Diceros bicornis minor: one gene and its partner. The protein of the gene in region 1 interacts with the protein of each later gene in a pairwise test. Links are inferred from orthologs where the notes say so. Each region holds a gene or a part of one and is shown in the gene's direction. Other genes may lie near its edges.

Region 1 (8,101 bases):
TCCCCCCAAAATTTATATGTTGAAGCTCTAACTTCCAGTGTGGCTATATTTAGAGATGGGGCCTCCAAGGAAGTAATTACAGTCATGCATCACTTAATGATGGGGATACTTCTGAGAGATGATTAACTGATTTTGCTGTACAAACATCGAGTGTACTTACACAAAGCTAGATGGTTTAGCCTACTATACATCTCGGCTATAAGGTACTAATCTTATGGGACCACCATCATACATGCAGTCCGTCATTGATCGAAACGTTGTTATGCAGCACATGACTCTAAGGTTAAATGAGGTCATAAGGGTGGGGCCCTGATCCAATAGGACTAGTGTCCTTATAAGAAAAGACATCAGAGAGCTAACCCTCTCCCTCCACCCCCATGACCTGTGTTCACGCACCAAGAAAGACCATGTGAAGATATAGTGAGGAAGCCATCTAGAAACCAGGAACAGAGCTGTCATCAGAAACCAAGTCAGCCAGAACCTTGATCTAGGACTTCTAACCTCCAGAGCTGTGAGAAAATAAATTTATGTTGTTTAAGACACCTGGCCTATGGTATTTTTTATGGTTGTTCTAGCAAACTAATACAAGTTCTTTTGGCTCAAAGTTTTTCATGGGATTGCACTTAAGCTGTGAGCCAGGATCATCTTAAGGCCTGAATGGGGAAGGATCAACTTTCAAGCTCGTTTACATGGAGTTGGCAGGATTCAGTTCCTTGTGGGGTGTTGGACTGAGGGGCTTCATTTTCACTAGCTGTTGCCAGGAGGCCTCTCTCAGTTCCTTGGCACAGGGGCCTCTCCATAGGGAAGCTCACAATATAGCAGCTGGCTTCCATCAGAGTGAGAGAGAGAGAGAGAGAGGGAGTAAGGGAGCGAGGCAGCAAAAAAATGAGAGGGCCAGAGAGGTTGCCCAAGATAGAAGCCAGTCTTTTTCTTACCCTAATCTCAAAAGTGACATCCCATCACCTTTTCTATTAATTAGAAACATCACTAGGGGCTGGCCCAGTGGTGTAGTGGTTAAGTTCGTGCATTCTGCTTTGGTGGCCTGGGGTTCACAGGTTCAAATCCTGGGCGCAGACCAACACACCACTCGTCGAGCCATGCTGTGGTGGCATCCCACATACAAAATAGAGGAAGATAGGCACAGATGTTAGCTCAGAACCAATCTTCCTCAGCAAAAAGAGGAAGACTGGCAACAGATGTTAGCTCAAGGCCAATCTTCCTCACACACACACACAAAAATATCATTAAATCCAGCCCACACTAAAGGAGAGGAGATTACAAAAGGGCTTGAATACTAGGAGGTGGGGATTGTTGGGGGTCATCTTAGAGGCTCCCTACAATAAGCTCTCAATAGCCAAATCTAGGACACCTTGAGCAACATATAAATAACAATACTAATGGATTAAAACTGATAGAATAAAAATCCATGAGTCCACACTGATATAAACAAAATACTTGAATAAATAAACGAGGGAGAAAAGACAGCGCTTCCTTACAGTAGAATTCCAATTAATAAATGTAGAAAGAAAACTAGAAACAGAAAATTAACATTTGGTAAACACCACAGTAATAACTGCCGTAGGCAAGAAGGGAATCTAAAATTACCGCATGAAAGTAAGATTGAAAAAACAAATAAGGTATTCACATAGCCTCAAAGTTTCTCCCAAGCTACTATTAATTTAAAAAGAAAAATTTTTATCTTTACAGTGGAGAAATATGACAAATATCAACTTAAAGTGATCAGACTTTACCAGTAACAAGACTTACCAATGTCATGTACCTCCTGGTACGACGCACTGAGGGCAGAACATCACTCTGTAACAGTCTTGCCAAAAATGCATAACCTTAATCTCATCAATCAGAAAACCCAAACTGAAGGATAGTCTACAAAATAACTTGCCCATACTCTTGAAAAGTGTCAAGGTCATCAAAGACAAAGAAAGACTAAAGAATTGTCTAAGATTGCAGGATGCTAAGGTGACAAGACAAGCAAATGCAACATGGGATCCTAAATCGGATCCTGGATCAGAAAAAGGCTGTTAGCTGGACAATTAGCAAAATTTAAGTAAAGTCTGTAAATTAGTTAATAGTATTGTATACACGTTAATTTTCTGGATTAGATAATTGCATTACAGTTATGTAATATGCTAATATTAGGGGAAGCTGGGTGAAGCGTATACAAGAACTGTGTATTGTTGTTATTATATTTTAAACAGCTTTACAGACATAAAATTTACCCATTAGTAATCACTCCCTATTCCCCACCCTCCCTTAGCCTTAGGCAATCACTAATCTACTTTCTGTCTCTGTAGAGTTGCCTATTCTGGACATTTCATATCAATGGAATCACACAATATGTGGTCTTCTGCGACTGGCTTCTTTCATTTAGCATGTTTTCAAGGTTCACATGTTGAATTGTGTCCCCCCAAAATATGCTAAAGTCCTAATCCCCAGTACCTGTGTACGTGACTTTATTTGAAATTCGGGTCTTTGCAGACGTCAAGTTAAGATGAGGTCATTAGGGTGGGCCCTAATCCACTATGATTGAGTCCTCATAAAAAGGGGAAATTTGGACACAGAAACAGACACACATACAAGGAAGACAATGTCAAGACACAAGGAGAACACCATCTGTAAGCCAAGGAATGCCTGAGGCTACCAGAAACTAGAAGAGAGAGGTGGAAAAAAGATCCTCCCTCACAGCCCTCAGAAGGAACCAACCCTACCAATACCTTGATTTCAGACATCTAGCCTCCAAAACTGTGAGACAATAAATTTCTATTAAGCCACCCAGTTTGTAGTACTTCGTTACATCAACCACAGCAATCTAATATACCCATGTTGTAGCATATATCAGTACTTCATTCTTTTTATTGCCAAAATATTCCATTTTGTGGATATATCATATTTTGTTTATCCATTAAACATTTGGGTTGTTTTGACCTTTTGGCTATTATCAATCACACTGCTATAAACATTTGTGTACAAGTTCCTGTGTGGACATGTTTTAATCTCTCTTGGGTATAAACCTAAGAAAGGAATTGCAAGGTCATATAACTTTAACTTTTTAAGGAACTGCCAAACTGTTTTCCAAAGTGGCTGCACCATTTTACATTCCCACCAGTAAAGTGTGCAAGTTCCAAATTCTCCACATCTTCACCAACACCTGTTATTGGCTGTCCTTTTGATTATAGCTATCCTAGAGGGTGTGAAGCGGTATCTCATTGAGTCTTTGATTTGCATTTCCCTAATAACTAACAACATTGAGCTTCTTTGTTTTACGTGCTTATCGGCCATTTCTATATCTTTGAAGAAATTCCTATTCAAATCCTTTGTTCAGTTTTTAATTAGTTTGTCTTTTTTATTGAGTTGCAGGAGTTCTTTATATGTTCTGGACCCTTATCAAATACATGATTTGCAAATATTTTCTCCCATTCTGTGGGTTGTCTTTTTGCTTTCTTGATGGTGCTGTTTGAAGCACAAAAGTGTTAAATTTTTATGAAGTCCAATTTATCAATTGTTAAATCTTTTATTATATTTGCGATACTTCTGTACATCTAAAACTACTTCAAAATAAAAAACTATGTATAAAAGTTTATGTAAAAAGCTTAGAAGACTATGTGCTAAACTACCAACAGGAAGCAGAAATGGAATTTTTCATTTGCTATTCAACACAATTCCGTTTCTTTTCTTTTTCCTGGATTTCTTTTCCGGATTATACAAGTGAGCAGATTCTCTGTGGAAATTTTGGAAATTAACATCATTAGTAAAGTCACCATCCAGAGATAACCATTGTTGTCACTTAAGTTTATATTCTTACACAAATAAACATTTATAAAAATTTGGGATCATTTGTTCTATGAGGGGAGAGCCACGTAAACAATTCCGGGATGGACGACTCACTGACTAACAGGAACACCAAAAAAAGGTGCTCCACCAGGGGCATTCAGGGGGGTGATGCCTTAGCTCGCCTTGCAAGGTGAGGGATGGCTCTGCTTTGGTGGAAGGAAAGAGGGAGCCTTCCAGACAGAGGACAGCCACGAGTAAAGGAACGTAATGGGAGCATGATGGAAACCCTTCATAGTAAGCCAGCTGGACCATACTGGATTTTGAAGAGCCTTATGCGACAGGATGTAATCCTTGTAGGCCGTGGGGCATCCTTGTCGAGTTTTGGGCAAGGGACACGGCTAGGGACCGTGGAAACGTCTATAATACATTTTATATTCTGACTGAGTACACACACACAGGTGACCATATGTTGGCCAGAGACAACCCCAGATTACACCTTTGGGCCTAGAGTAACTATACTGCACTTCCCTTTCACTCCCAAAAATGCATGATTTTGGAGGATGCGTGTTATCATCTACACACATACACACAACGGAACTTGCACACTTCCCACCTTTACTACGTGAGATGCACTAATATTCTGTATTCTGTATTATTCCAGTTTTTAAATGTTGGCTGCAACCCGTTAAACTGATTTCGTGACACACTAATTGTTCCTAATCCACAGTTTGAAAAACTCTGACCTAGATGCCTGCCAGGTCTTGGGAAAAAGGGAAGGAGACAGAGAATCAAGTTTGGATGTGCAGTGTAAGGCCGTGGTTCTCAGCCTAGGCAGCGCCATAAAATCACCCGAAGCATTACTGAAAACGCACACCTCCAAGCCCACTGCATTTAAAACTTTGTTATGTGTATTTCTACGGAAAGAGCTGTGACATATTTGACACGTAACACGTAAAAGGGTATGAATACTTACAGACTTAAGTTCAAAGCAGAGCTGAGAACCACTATTTTCAGGAGTATGCGACAGCCTGGGAGGGAGCCCAGGAGGCAAGGACAGGGAGCACGGCCGCCGGCCCCTCCCAGGTGCTCGGCGAGTCACTGTTAAACCAACGAGTGTCCCTCTCTCCGCCGGCCTCCCCAGACCCTCGCTGACCCGGGGGCTGGGCCGCGGCGGGCGCCACACAGCAAGCGACAGACGACGCGGCCGCTCCCGCTCGCCAGGCCCACTCCGCCCGCCCGCTCCGGTACGCGCCAACCGCGGGACGCCGGCCCCACAGTGCCCCGCGGCGCGCACGCGCAGGCGGCCGTTCCCGGCTTGCAGCGCTGCGCCGCGGCCGAGCCGGCAGCGGGCAGCCTCTGGCAGCCCGGGGCCGAGCCGCCCCCGTCTCCAGCAGCTGGGGTAGGATGGCGCTGAAGCGGATCCAGAAGGTAAGGGGCCCTCCCCCGCTAGGGCTTCTTGCGAGTCCGAAGCGTGGGGGTCTGAAGCCTCGATTCGCGGGCGGGGGCGCCGTGGCTCCCAAGTGAACAGCGGCTGAGGTGGGCAGACCACGGCGACACCTGCCGGGGGGGGGGGGGGGGGGGGGGGGGCGGAACTGCCGCCGGCGCCGCCTTAAAAGGGCACGGCGCGGCGCGCGAGGCGGGGCCAGCGTCACGTGGGGCGGTGGGGCGGGGTTGGAGGGGCGTGCCCGGAGTCACGTGGGGATTGCGTCAGGCTGGCAGGTTGGCTGGTGGGCTAGGCGGGGCGGCAGGGGGAGTTGACGGTGGTGCCTGCTGCGATGTTCAGACTCAGGGCTCTGTCGTTGCCTGTCCCGGGCCACGAGAAGGCGCCGGTTGTCTGAGGAATGAGGGCTCGCCCTTGTAAAAGTGTCGGGAGGGCTGGGCGGGGGAGTCGTGGTTGGAGCTGGGTCCTAAGGAATGAGTTGGAACTCTGCAACTGGAGAAAAGGGACAAGGGCGTTCTCGGCCACAGGAAGACCGCGTGGCTTGGCTTGGGGCCCAATGAAGATGACCGGAGCAGGATGCTGAAGCAGGGGATGGGAGTGGGTTAATGGGCCTGGACTGGGTCTTAGGGCCAGTGCTGGCATAACTGTTTTTTTATCTTGTAGGTAACTGGGAGTCGTTATAGGCGATTAATATATTGTCAAACTAAAAAGCAAATTCCTGTTATTTTATCCTCAAAACGAATTTATTCCAGAATACCCAAAAGAAATGCAATTCAGAATGTACATGCTATGGCAAACCATAGGCAAATCCGGAAAACTTTTTTAAAAGAGGGTTGCTGCTTTTATAGAGAGAAAGAGGTGGGGGAGGGTGCTGTTCTAAGTGAAAGTGCATTGGGGGAAGGTAACATTTCAGGGAAGCTGTGGCTTCTCATTGGCTGAGCTTGTCATTTCTCATTGGCTGGGCTGTTGCTAGGTTGAGAGAGAAATCTTCCTTCAGTAGTAAAGTAGTTTTACTTCCTGTCCAAGATGCACGCAGGTCTCTTCCTGTTTGGTGCATGATGCGGTGTGAGAGCTCCCCATACAGGGCTTTGCAACTGTGATTTAGTTATGATTTCTTTTATTAATTTCCATGATATTAACTAGAATTTGGAAAATGCACAGTAGTAGAAGAAAGAAAACATATTCCCAATTCTACCACCTTACCATTTGTTGACATCCTAGCATATCTACTACCAGTCTTTTTCCTATACTTTAAAGAAAATAATCATACTGTATTTTGTATCCCACTTTTATCACATAGCCTTAAACGTGAGCATTTTCCATGTTGTGAAACAGTATTCATAGTCATAATTTTTAACACTAACTTTCTGTAAGAAAGTGACCAGTAACTTAATCAGTACCTGTAGCGAGTAAACACATGGACATGGGTGTTGAGGGACCTGGGGTAGAGAATGAGGTCACCTGTGGTAGGACCACAGGCAAGGCACTTAATCATTCCCAGCCTCTGTGTCCTATATAGAGTTGTTTTAAGACTTAAATGAGATGATACATGTTTAACACATGCTTGGTATATATCAAGCACTAAATATGAGTTAACTGCCATTGATATTCTAAATTCTTCATAAGAGTGCTGTGATGAGCATTATTGCACAGTAGGCTTAGATTTGATTACCAGAGATGGAATTACAGGATCTCTAAGGGTGTGACTCATTTTTTATAATTAGCTCTCCAAAAAGGAATTTTTTTGGCAAATTATTCTCTAAAGGGGTCATCTGTCATCCTAGGACTTTGAACCGGGTGAATCACATGCTCAGATCTGTGTTATAACAAGATCCTTCTGGCGGTGATGTGGCCTGGAGTGGGCCAGAGACTCGTGCAGAGGGAGAGTAGAGGTTATTGTGAAAGTCCAGCAAAGGCTTTGCCCAGATTAATGACTGTGGAATGGATACCAAGGCAAGGGCAGTACTTGAGTGACATGGCAGAGGTAGAATTGACAGGACTTGAAGAAGAGTATGTGGTGTATCCATCCACAAGATGGATAACTGGGTAGATGGTGGTGTCATTGCCTAAGATGAGGAATCAGAAGTTTTGAGGACAGGGAGCAGGGTTGGGGAGATAAGGAGTGTAGGTTTGAACCTAGATGTTTGAACACATAGCCTGATCATATTTATAAAAGGGAAAACTAGGAGAAACAAGTTAGGACCTTGAGGCTGAGATGGCAGCCATAGATATAAGGTAATTGAAGTCAGAAGGCTAGGGAGAACTTGCCTTGACAGGAATCAATAAAGGAGGAAACCAGAGCTGGCTTCCTGGGTATGTGACCTATATTGTCTCACAGGGCCCTTTGCTGTGAAGAGCCCTGTCCCTGGGTTAGTGCTCTGCAGTCACCATGTTGAAATTCAATAATTATTGAAGAAGAGACCCTGTATTTTCATTTTGCATGAGGACTCTGAAAATTATGTAGCAAGTCCTGGAAGAAACAATGCAATGGTAGGAAATGTCTTGAAAAATGTGTCCAGTGCACAGTGGTGAGAAGGCAACACTGGGACAAGTTAGGAAGCCTTGGCTGGAAGTGACAGAGGCCCAGCTGCCCTGGCTACAGAATTGGAGGTCCACAGGACTTTGGGAGTGACTTTGGGGCTCCTGCTCTGTTTCCATGAGATTCTCTGGACTGAGCAGCTCTGGGCCCCATAGCCCACTGGGCATCCCCTAAGAAGAAGAGAGACGCTGGCTTCCAGAAGTTCTCCGAGAGCCAAGAAAATCTTTTTTTTTTCCTTTATTTACTTGTTATGAATTAAGTTACATGCTCATTCTTGAACCAGTGAGTGCCAAGACTGCTTTTAGAATGTCTGGCTACTGCTAGACCTGGAG
Region 2 (7,592 bases), on another chromosome or scaffold:
GGGAGGAAGTTTCTTACTTGGAGACACAAGTCCACTCCCAGAGGAGGTGCTGAAGGGGCTCCCTCCAAAGCCACGGGAAGCCCTCCCCTCCCTCCGGCTCGTGGAGACAGAGAGGAGGCCATGAGTTTCCCAAGGCGTCCCAGGAGTAGGCCCTAACAAGCCATTTCCCCCATTTTCTAAACCCTTCAAGTCTCAGATTTATATTCTTTCGAAGATGTTTAAAACTGGGGCTTTGCAGCATTGGTATGCACTAGCATCTGCAGGCTTCAGCAACGCTAATTTTTATCAGCTCTTTCTCTGACTAATCTGGTAGATGGGTTAGTGGTTTCTTAACCCTGTTTCACAGCTGAAGGAGAGCCAGGAAGCAGCTCACCCAGGGTCAGCGAGAACATGAAGATAAAAAAAAAAAAAACAGTCCCAAATCTAGCTGGGGCCATTTCTGCATCTATATCCCTGCATTGAGAGTGTCCAAAATGACTTGACATCTCCTCAGATCCATTAACTTTAAACCAAGAACCCACAGGAGAAACTTGAAGGAAAACATACTGGACTCCTGATACAACAAATGACAAAATGAAACTGATCTGAGGCTGCAGGTCTCCGCGGATGCCTGTTGCTAGCCATGAGTCACCCTCTCTAAGATGTCAAGTGTAGAATCAAGCTACTGAATGAAGAACTTTCCTCGTTCTGTATTTTAATATTTTCATTTCAGAGGCAAAATTGTCGTTTGAATAAAAGCACAAGGAGATAACAAGGGCATCGCCTGAGAAAGGCTGCCATGCAGGGTCCCACAGGGCATCTAAGCTTAGTGTCATGACATTGCAGAGAATAGAGGCTTCACCTTCGCAGTTCAGGCCCTCAGCTATTCAGTGGTGCCCAATGTGAGAGAGACCGGCTTATGATAACCAGTAGTCTGGAATATAAACTTTAAGGGCAAATTATTAATAAACAAAAAGGAATATAGCTGTTAAGCAGATCTAATCTTTTTCACCCCATTGGAAAGCATACAGAGAAAATGAAATTGTCATCCAAAGATTCCTTGATGAGCACCTTCACTGTAAAGCTTAGAAGTCCAGCTCTGCTCCTACTAGCTGTGTGACTTTTTACTGTGCATGTGGGATATACTTTATATTTACCTCTACCTCTCTATCAGTTGGTCTCTATAAATTTACATGGCTCAAACACTAAAATACAAAAAGATATATAACGAAATGAAATATTTCTCATCCATCCCGTCACCGAACTCTCCAGTTCCTACTGCCCACCCCCCAGGGGACAACATTATGTCATTTCATGTTTCCATCCAGTATCTTTATGAATATATACACTAAGAAAAATACAGGGGTCGGCCCGGTGGCATAGTGGTGAAGTTTGTGCGCTCCGCTTTGGCGGCCTGCGCTTCGCAGGTTCGGATCCCAGGCCAGACCTACACACTGCTTATCAAGCCATGCTGAGGCGGCGTCCCACATATAAAGTAGAGAAAGATGGGTAGGGATGTTAGCCCGGGGCCCATCTTCCTCAGCAAGAAGAGGAGGATTGGCAACGTATGTTAGCTCAGGGCTAATCTTCCTCACCAAAAAAAAGAAAAGAAGAGAAAAGAACAGAAAAATATAGACACGGTCCATGCTCCCTACCATGGCTGACAGGACCCTCTTGTCTGTCCCTGAGGACCAGCTTCATCTTTGGCTCCTCTCATTGCAGCTTTACTGCATCTTTCAGTCCTTTGAAGATGCCATGTTCTCTGGGCCTTTGAACATGCTGTTCCCTTTGCTTGGAACATTCTTCTCTTCCTGAAACACAGTTCTCCCCCCACCCCATTCCCTGGCTAATCTCCCACCCACCTTTTAGGTCTTGGCTTAGAATCACTGTGTTTGTGCCTGTCTCCTTCCCTCAGCACCATGCTCTTTCACTCTCATAGGACTTAGTTATTCATTCATTCATTTGAAAAATATTTATTGAGTGCCAACTACATGCCAGGCACTGTTCTAGACTTATCTATCACACTGTATTGTCACTGCCTGCTTCAATACTTCATATATATAGAGTCACATACCAAAAAATTGCACTGTATTACACTGTAATTCCCATACCATAAAATTCACGCTTTTAAGTGTATAATTCAGTGGTTTTTAGTATATTCACAAGGTCGTGCAACCATCACTATTACCTAATTCCAGAACATTTTCATCACTCCAAAAAGAAACCAGTTAACAGTCATTCTCTATTTTCCCCTTCCTCCAGGCCCTGGCAACCATTAATTTTTCCGACTCAATGGATTTGCCTATTCTGGACATTTCACATAAGTGGAATCATACAATATGTGGTCTTTTGTGATTGGCTTCTTAGTATAATGTTTTCAAGGATCATCCATGTTATGGTACATAACAGCACTTTATTTCTTTTTATGGCTGAGCAATAGTCCATTGTATGGATATACCACATTTGCTTTATCTTTTCATCAGTTGATGGATACTTGGGTTGTTTCCACTTTTTAGCTATTTTGAATAATGCTGCTATGAACATTCATGTACAAGGTTTTCTGCAGACATATGTTTTCATTTCTTTTGGAAATATACCTAGAAGTGGAATTGCTGGGTCATATAACTCTATATTTAATCTCTTTGAGGAACTGCCAGACTGTTTTCTAAAGTAGCTGTACCATTCTACACTCCCACCAGCAAGGTATGAGGGTTCCAATTTTTGCACATCTCACCAACACTTGTTATTGTTCTTTTTGATTAGAGCCATCTTAGTGGGTGTGAAGTGCTTCTTTTGAATTTCCATGAGAACAAGGACTCCATCTGTCTTGCTCACCACTCTATCCCAGAACCTAGTGCATAAGTGCCTGACACTTATGAGACATTCATATTTTGTTCAACACACTAAAAAAGTGTTGAATGAATAGGTAAATCAAAAGCTAGATAGACGGTTACAATACTATTGTGTATTTATCTCCCCCATAGAGCTCTGTCGAGGGATCTAGCATTCTTTTTTCTGCACAGTACTGAACCACCCCTCTTCTATTACCATGGTCTCTCTTCAGGGAGGAAATTGGGTTAAATGTAAGCTTTCTTGTTTTTCTTCAGATCACTCATTTAGATCTCAGGTGTGCACAAATTCTTCATTTAGGCACTTAAAGATAGTTTCTTGGGTATTGGAACATTTTGTTTTTTCCTACCTGCATTTCTCATACTGAACTCTTGACTTCCTTCTGCAGGGCCTTTAGTTCACTCCCAAGCACCCCATGCTTGCAAATAGCCTTCCTCCTGTTTCTTTCCAAGCGGGTCACACTGGGACAATCAATACCTGTGACAGACCAGCCCTCCTGTTTTTTGGTTTTCTCTTAATATTCTTTTACACCCTGTTTTGGCTCCTTGATTTGGAAGTATCTGGGGACATTTAGAGCAAGGAAGTCAGGCCAGGGACTAGGTGATGCTCATATCGAGCCCTCAGCACTTGAAAAATAGTTGTTGAATGAATGAATGTGAATTTGTGAGAGAGACATATTGCAAAATGCAGACTTGGTCAACAAATATTTATTAAGTACCCACTATGTCCCAGGCCCTGTGGTACATGCCCGAATAAAAGGTAAACAAAACAGGGGACTCGCCTTGGACTTAGGGAGTTCCTAAAATCACTAGTTCTAGCTACATTATTCCATTTTCACATCTCTATCTTTTCACTCTTTATCGTACACCTAATGACTTCAAGGATCACATTTTAGCTAAGGAATCTACCCGTTTACTTAACCCCAAAATAGGAAGTTCTGAATTACTGTCAGCAAAATTCGCAGTCGCAAGTGCCCCAGGGCGCTGTTTACCCGCAAACAGCCAAAAATCTCCCAAATGCTAAGCTTCCTGATCTTCGGGATCCCTGGATGGGGAACCTCCCAAAGAACGGACCGCACGTCCACCAGAGGGTGCTGTGGGGGTAAATTTGTGCCGGGAGGGGAGCTTGACCAGTGACCCACAGAGCCAGGTAGGCGTCTTGAGTAATTTTCATTCTTCCTACGGTTTCCTTCCCACCCCCTTGAACCATCGCCACCCCTCCCCCATAGGTGGTTCCCCCTGAATAATTAGCCACTTTCGGGGACTTAACGAGTGCTTGCTTTGAAAAGACGCCTTGTTCCGTTCCCGACACCCCGTGGCTCCAGTCACTCAGGTCACTGGTCGGTCGGGACCGGGTGGGTGGGGACCTCCGGGGCGTCAGGGGCCGGGCACCGCAGGGGCCGCGAAGGGTTAACCCGGCGGGGGGGGAGGGGGAGGGGGAAGGGGCGCGGGCCGCGCCTGCGCTCTGCCGCCCTCCATTGTCTCCACGGCGGCGAGGAGCGCCGGCGAGCACAGCCCGGGACCTAGCGGGGCGGCGCGGCTGGCGGGGTCGGCGGTGGCTGGAGCGAGAGGGCGACGGGACGCGACCGCGGCTTCCCGAGCTCCGCCTGGCCGCCCAGCGCCGCAGCCCGCCCGAAGCCTGGAGGGGTCCGGTCCGCCGTCCATGGTCGCGGCGTCCTGAGGCGGGGGACGCGCCCGGCGCCCCCAGCCGTCCTCCGCCTCCTCCTGTCGGGCGGGCGGCCTCCTCTGGCGCCTCCCTGCGCCCGCCCGCCCGCTCGCCCGCCGCCTCCCTCCCTCCTTCCCTGCGGCTCCCCCGGCTTTCGGGAGCCCGGGGGCGGCCTGTGGCGCGCCGAGCCCGCGCCGGACTGCGCCTCTTTGGACCTTGAGGCGAAACATGCGTTTGGCTTGGATCGTTTTAAATTCTTAGTTTGGGATCCCCGCCCGCCTGCCTCTTCCGCTCCGCGGGTTTTCTTTTCTTTTTTCTTTTTGTTTTTTTTTCCCTTTTTTCCTCCCAGTCTCCTTTTTGACTCCCTCCCCCTTTATGCTCGCCCAACCCTCCCCTCGCTACTGAGAAGTGGGGGAGGGTCTCCGCCTCCAGGTTCCCGCCCCACCGGGGCCCGGCCGAGCATGGGGGGCAAGCAGAGCACGGCGGCCCGCTCCCGGGGCCCCTTCCCGGGGGTCTCCACCGATGACAGCGCCGTGCCCCCGCCGGGAGGGGCTCCCCACTTTGGGCACTACCGGGCGGGCGGCGGGGCCATGGGGCTGCGCAGCCGCTCGGTCAGCTCAGTGGCAGGCATGGGCATGGACCCCAGCACGGCCGGGGGGGTGCCCTTTGGCCTCTACACCCCCGCCTCCCGGGGGACCGGCGACTCGGAGAGGGCGCCCGGCGGCGGAGGGTCCGCGTCCGACTCCACCTATGCCCATGGCAATGGTTACCAGGAGACGGGCGGCGGTCACCATAGAGACGGGATGCTGTACCTGGGCTCCCGAGCCTCGCTGGCGGATGCTCTACCTCTGCACATCGCACCCAGGTGGTTCAGCTCGCACAGTGGTGAGTCCGCGGATCGTGGAGGCCTCGGAGGGTGGAGTGCAAGGGAGGGCGCGCCGGGGCTCCCCAAACCTTCGCGCGCGTGCGAAGGTTTGGATGTGGAGTGCACGACCTGGATCTGTCTGTCTTCCCCTTGGTTCCGAAAGCCAAGGGATGAATGGGATACCTATCCTCTAGAAAAGAGGCATGGCATTCTGCGAGGCTGCGGAGCCGGGCATTTTAGGACTTCAAGCGTTGGTTCACTTGTGGATGGGCAGAGTGAAACCTGCCTATTGAAATCCCATTTATTGGCATCAGCATCCTCAAAGAGGTCTTGTCTGGTTTACAGCAAGTCGGCCTCAGTGCTTCCATTCTGTCACTGCAGCATTGTGCCTACCTCGCCGTTAACGGAGAGAGAGGGATCCCATCTGACCAAGCCGGTCTCCCAAATAAAGAGTGTGAAAAGAAATAAAATTGGGGGCATGTGGTGTTCGGATTAGGGCTCTCACTCTTGCTGGGAGAGGGGGATGCCCAATTTTGCCACCCTGCTGGAGATCTGTTTGAATTGTTTAAAATGGAGCAGGCTGCTGGCATAGACAGGTGTGGCGTGCTGAATGGAGGGCCCAGCCAGGGAGCCTCCCCTGGAGGCTTTGCAGGACCAGGGCTCTGGTCGCCCGTGCTGCATGCGGTAGGCTTGGCTCCATGACTGTCACATCCCTCCATCTTTTTTCTTCCTTTCCTTGCTAAGTGCTTGGTCTTCCTGTAATCTGCATCTTTTTGTAATGGAGAGGTGGGATTTTATTGCCTGGCTGTTGGCACAAGATAGGGGAAGAAGGGAAGAAGAGGATTCAGAGAATCTGGATGAATTCATTTTGTGAACTTCTGGTGACAGGCCAGTGAAAAGCTGGAGGAGGATTTCCCAGGCTCTGACTGGCAGGGTGGAAAAGGCACTGGCAAGAGCTGCTGGACGAAAACAGGTTTGTCTGCTCAGCTAACGTGCAGCTTAGGCTTCTAGAAAACTGGTCAAAAGGAGTGTGGGGCCGCTATTTGCTAATTGGCAAGTTGGAGTGAAGAAGTTAATGTATTCAGACTCCTTTGGGAAAGTCGAGAAAATTTAGATATTGTGTAGAAGAAAGATTGCTTTATGGAAGATTTATCTATCGGATCACTGTTCTAGCTATTGTGAAGTAGAGTAGACTTCTTGGATCTCTTTTTTATCTGGAAAGAGTCTGCATTTTTTTTCAAACTTTTGTCAAACTATAAACTTTAATTTGTGGAATATTTTTGGGGGAAAATAGTGACTAATTTAGGGTAACACTTGAAAGTAGCTTTTGAATAGCTAGGATGGTATTTTAAGCCCTGAACAGACCTCTGGATATCGTTGGAGCTTCTCTGACCTGAAGTAGATGCAAGGCATGACTGCCTTTGGCACTTTTAGGCATTTGATCAGCTTTAGACATCTTGAAATTAATGATCTTTCTGATAAAATATGATCCAGAAAGAGTCAGTTGTATTTGTGAGATGACTGTGGTTAAGTTTTTAAAAGAACTGTCATTAGTATCTGATTTTAAACCAAAAAGCACTATAAGAAGCTTCTCTAAAACCATAGAATTTTGTGTGCTGCAAAACAAATGTAATCTTATAGATGCTTGTCTGGGGAAGGAGTTCCCTTTTTGCTGAAATTTCTTGTCTGTCTCTTACCAGAAACTTCATTTTCCTTATTTCACCACCAGGTTCCATGCTGGAGTTATGAGCTTACAACTGGATTCCCAAATTTCAGACTCTTCAGCTGTGAAACCCATGGGAATACAGGAAAGGGCGTGGGGGCTGGTGTTACTATTGGGGGAATACATTCTTTATAGGGCCATCCTGTCCTTTTGCAAGACATTGAGTGTACCTGGCCCTGCCCACTAAATGCCCCCACAAATTTCCAAATGCTCTTGTCAGGGGTGGGGATACCACCCTGATTGAGAATCTCTGCTTTAGGGATTTGTTGTTTTATTCAACTAAAGTTATTTTTTCTGGTGCAGTTCATTTGAGATGAGCCTTCATTATTTCCACTCTTCTATCTCACCTTCTGGAACAGGCCATGGGATCTCCCTTCCAGGACACCCCTTTCCTCTCTTGTTCATTGCTGTAAGAAGAGAAGCTTGTTTCCACTTTGAAGCCTCTGAGTAAGACCCGAGCAGTTTTTGTTCTTGTGTCCTAAGAGTAGAAGGGTAAGGATTTCGGTGCAC

The links. The genes of interacting proteins can lie anywhere in the genome.
Region 2: the proteins of UBE2D4 (region 1) and ZNRF1 interact in binary tests that used the Homo sapiens proteins (3 or more experiments, as listed by UniProt). The link is inferred for Diceros bicornis minor from reciprocal best matches to the Homo sapiens genes UBE2D4 and ZNRF1.

What each region holds. Positions count from the first base shown.
Region 1 is NC_080780.1:1,119,126-1,127,226, forward strand, and holds the start of UBE2D4 (ubiquitin-conjugating enzyme E2 D4), read left to right. Parts: upstream 1-5,100; 5' UTR 5,101-5,193; coding exon 5,194-5,217; exon of another isoform or gene 5,218-5,325; intron 5,326-8,101. UniProt on the Homo sapiens protein: Accepts ubiquitin from the E1 complex and catalyzes its covalent attachment to other proteins. In vitro able to promote polyubiquitination using all 7 ubiquitin Lys residues, but may prefer 'Lys-11' and 'Lys-48'-linked polyubiquitination.
Region 2 is NC_080771.1:25,546,825-25,554,416, forward strand, and holds the start of ZNRF1 (E3 ubiquitin-protein ligase ZNRF1), read left to right. Parts: upstream 1-4,554; 5' UTR 4,555-4,955; coding exon 4,956-5,379; intron 5,380-7,592. UniProt on the Homo sapiens protein: E3 ubiquitin-protein ligase that plays a role in different processes including cell differentiation, receptor recycling or regulation of inflammation. Mediates the ubiquitination of AKT1 and GLUL, thereby playing a role in neuron cells differentiation.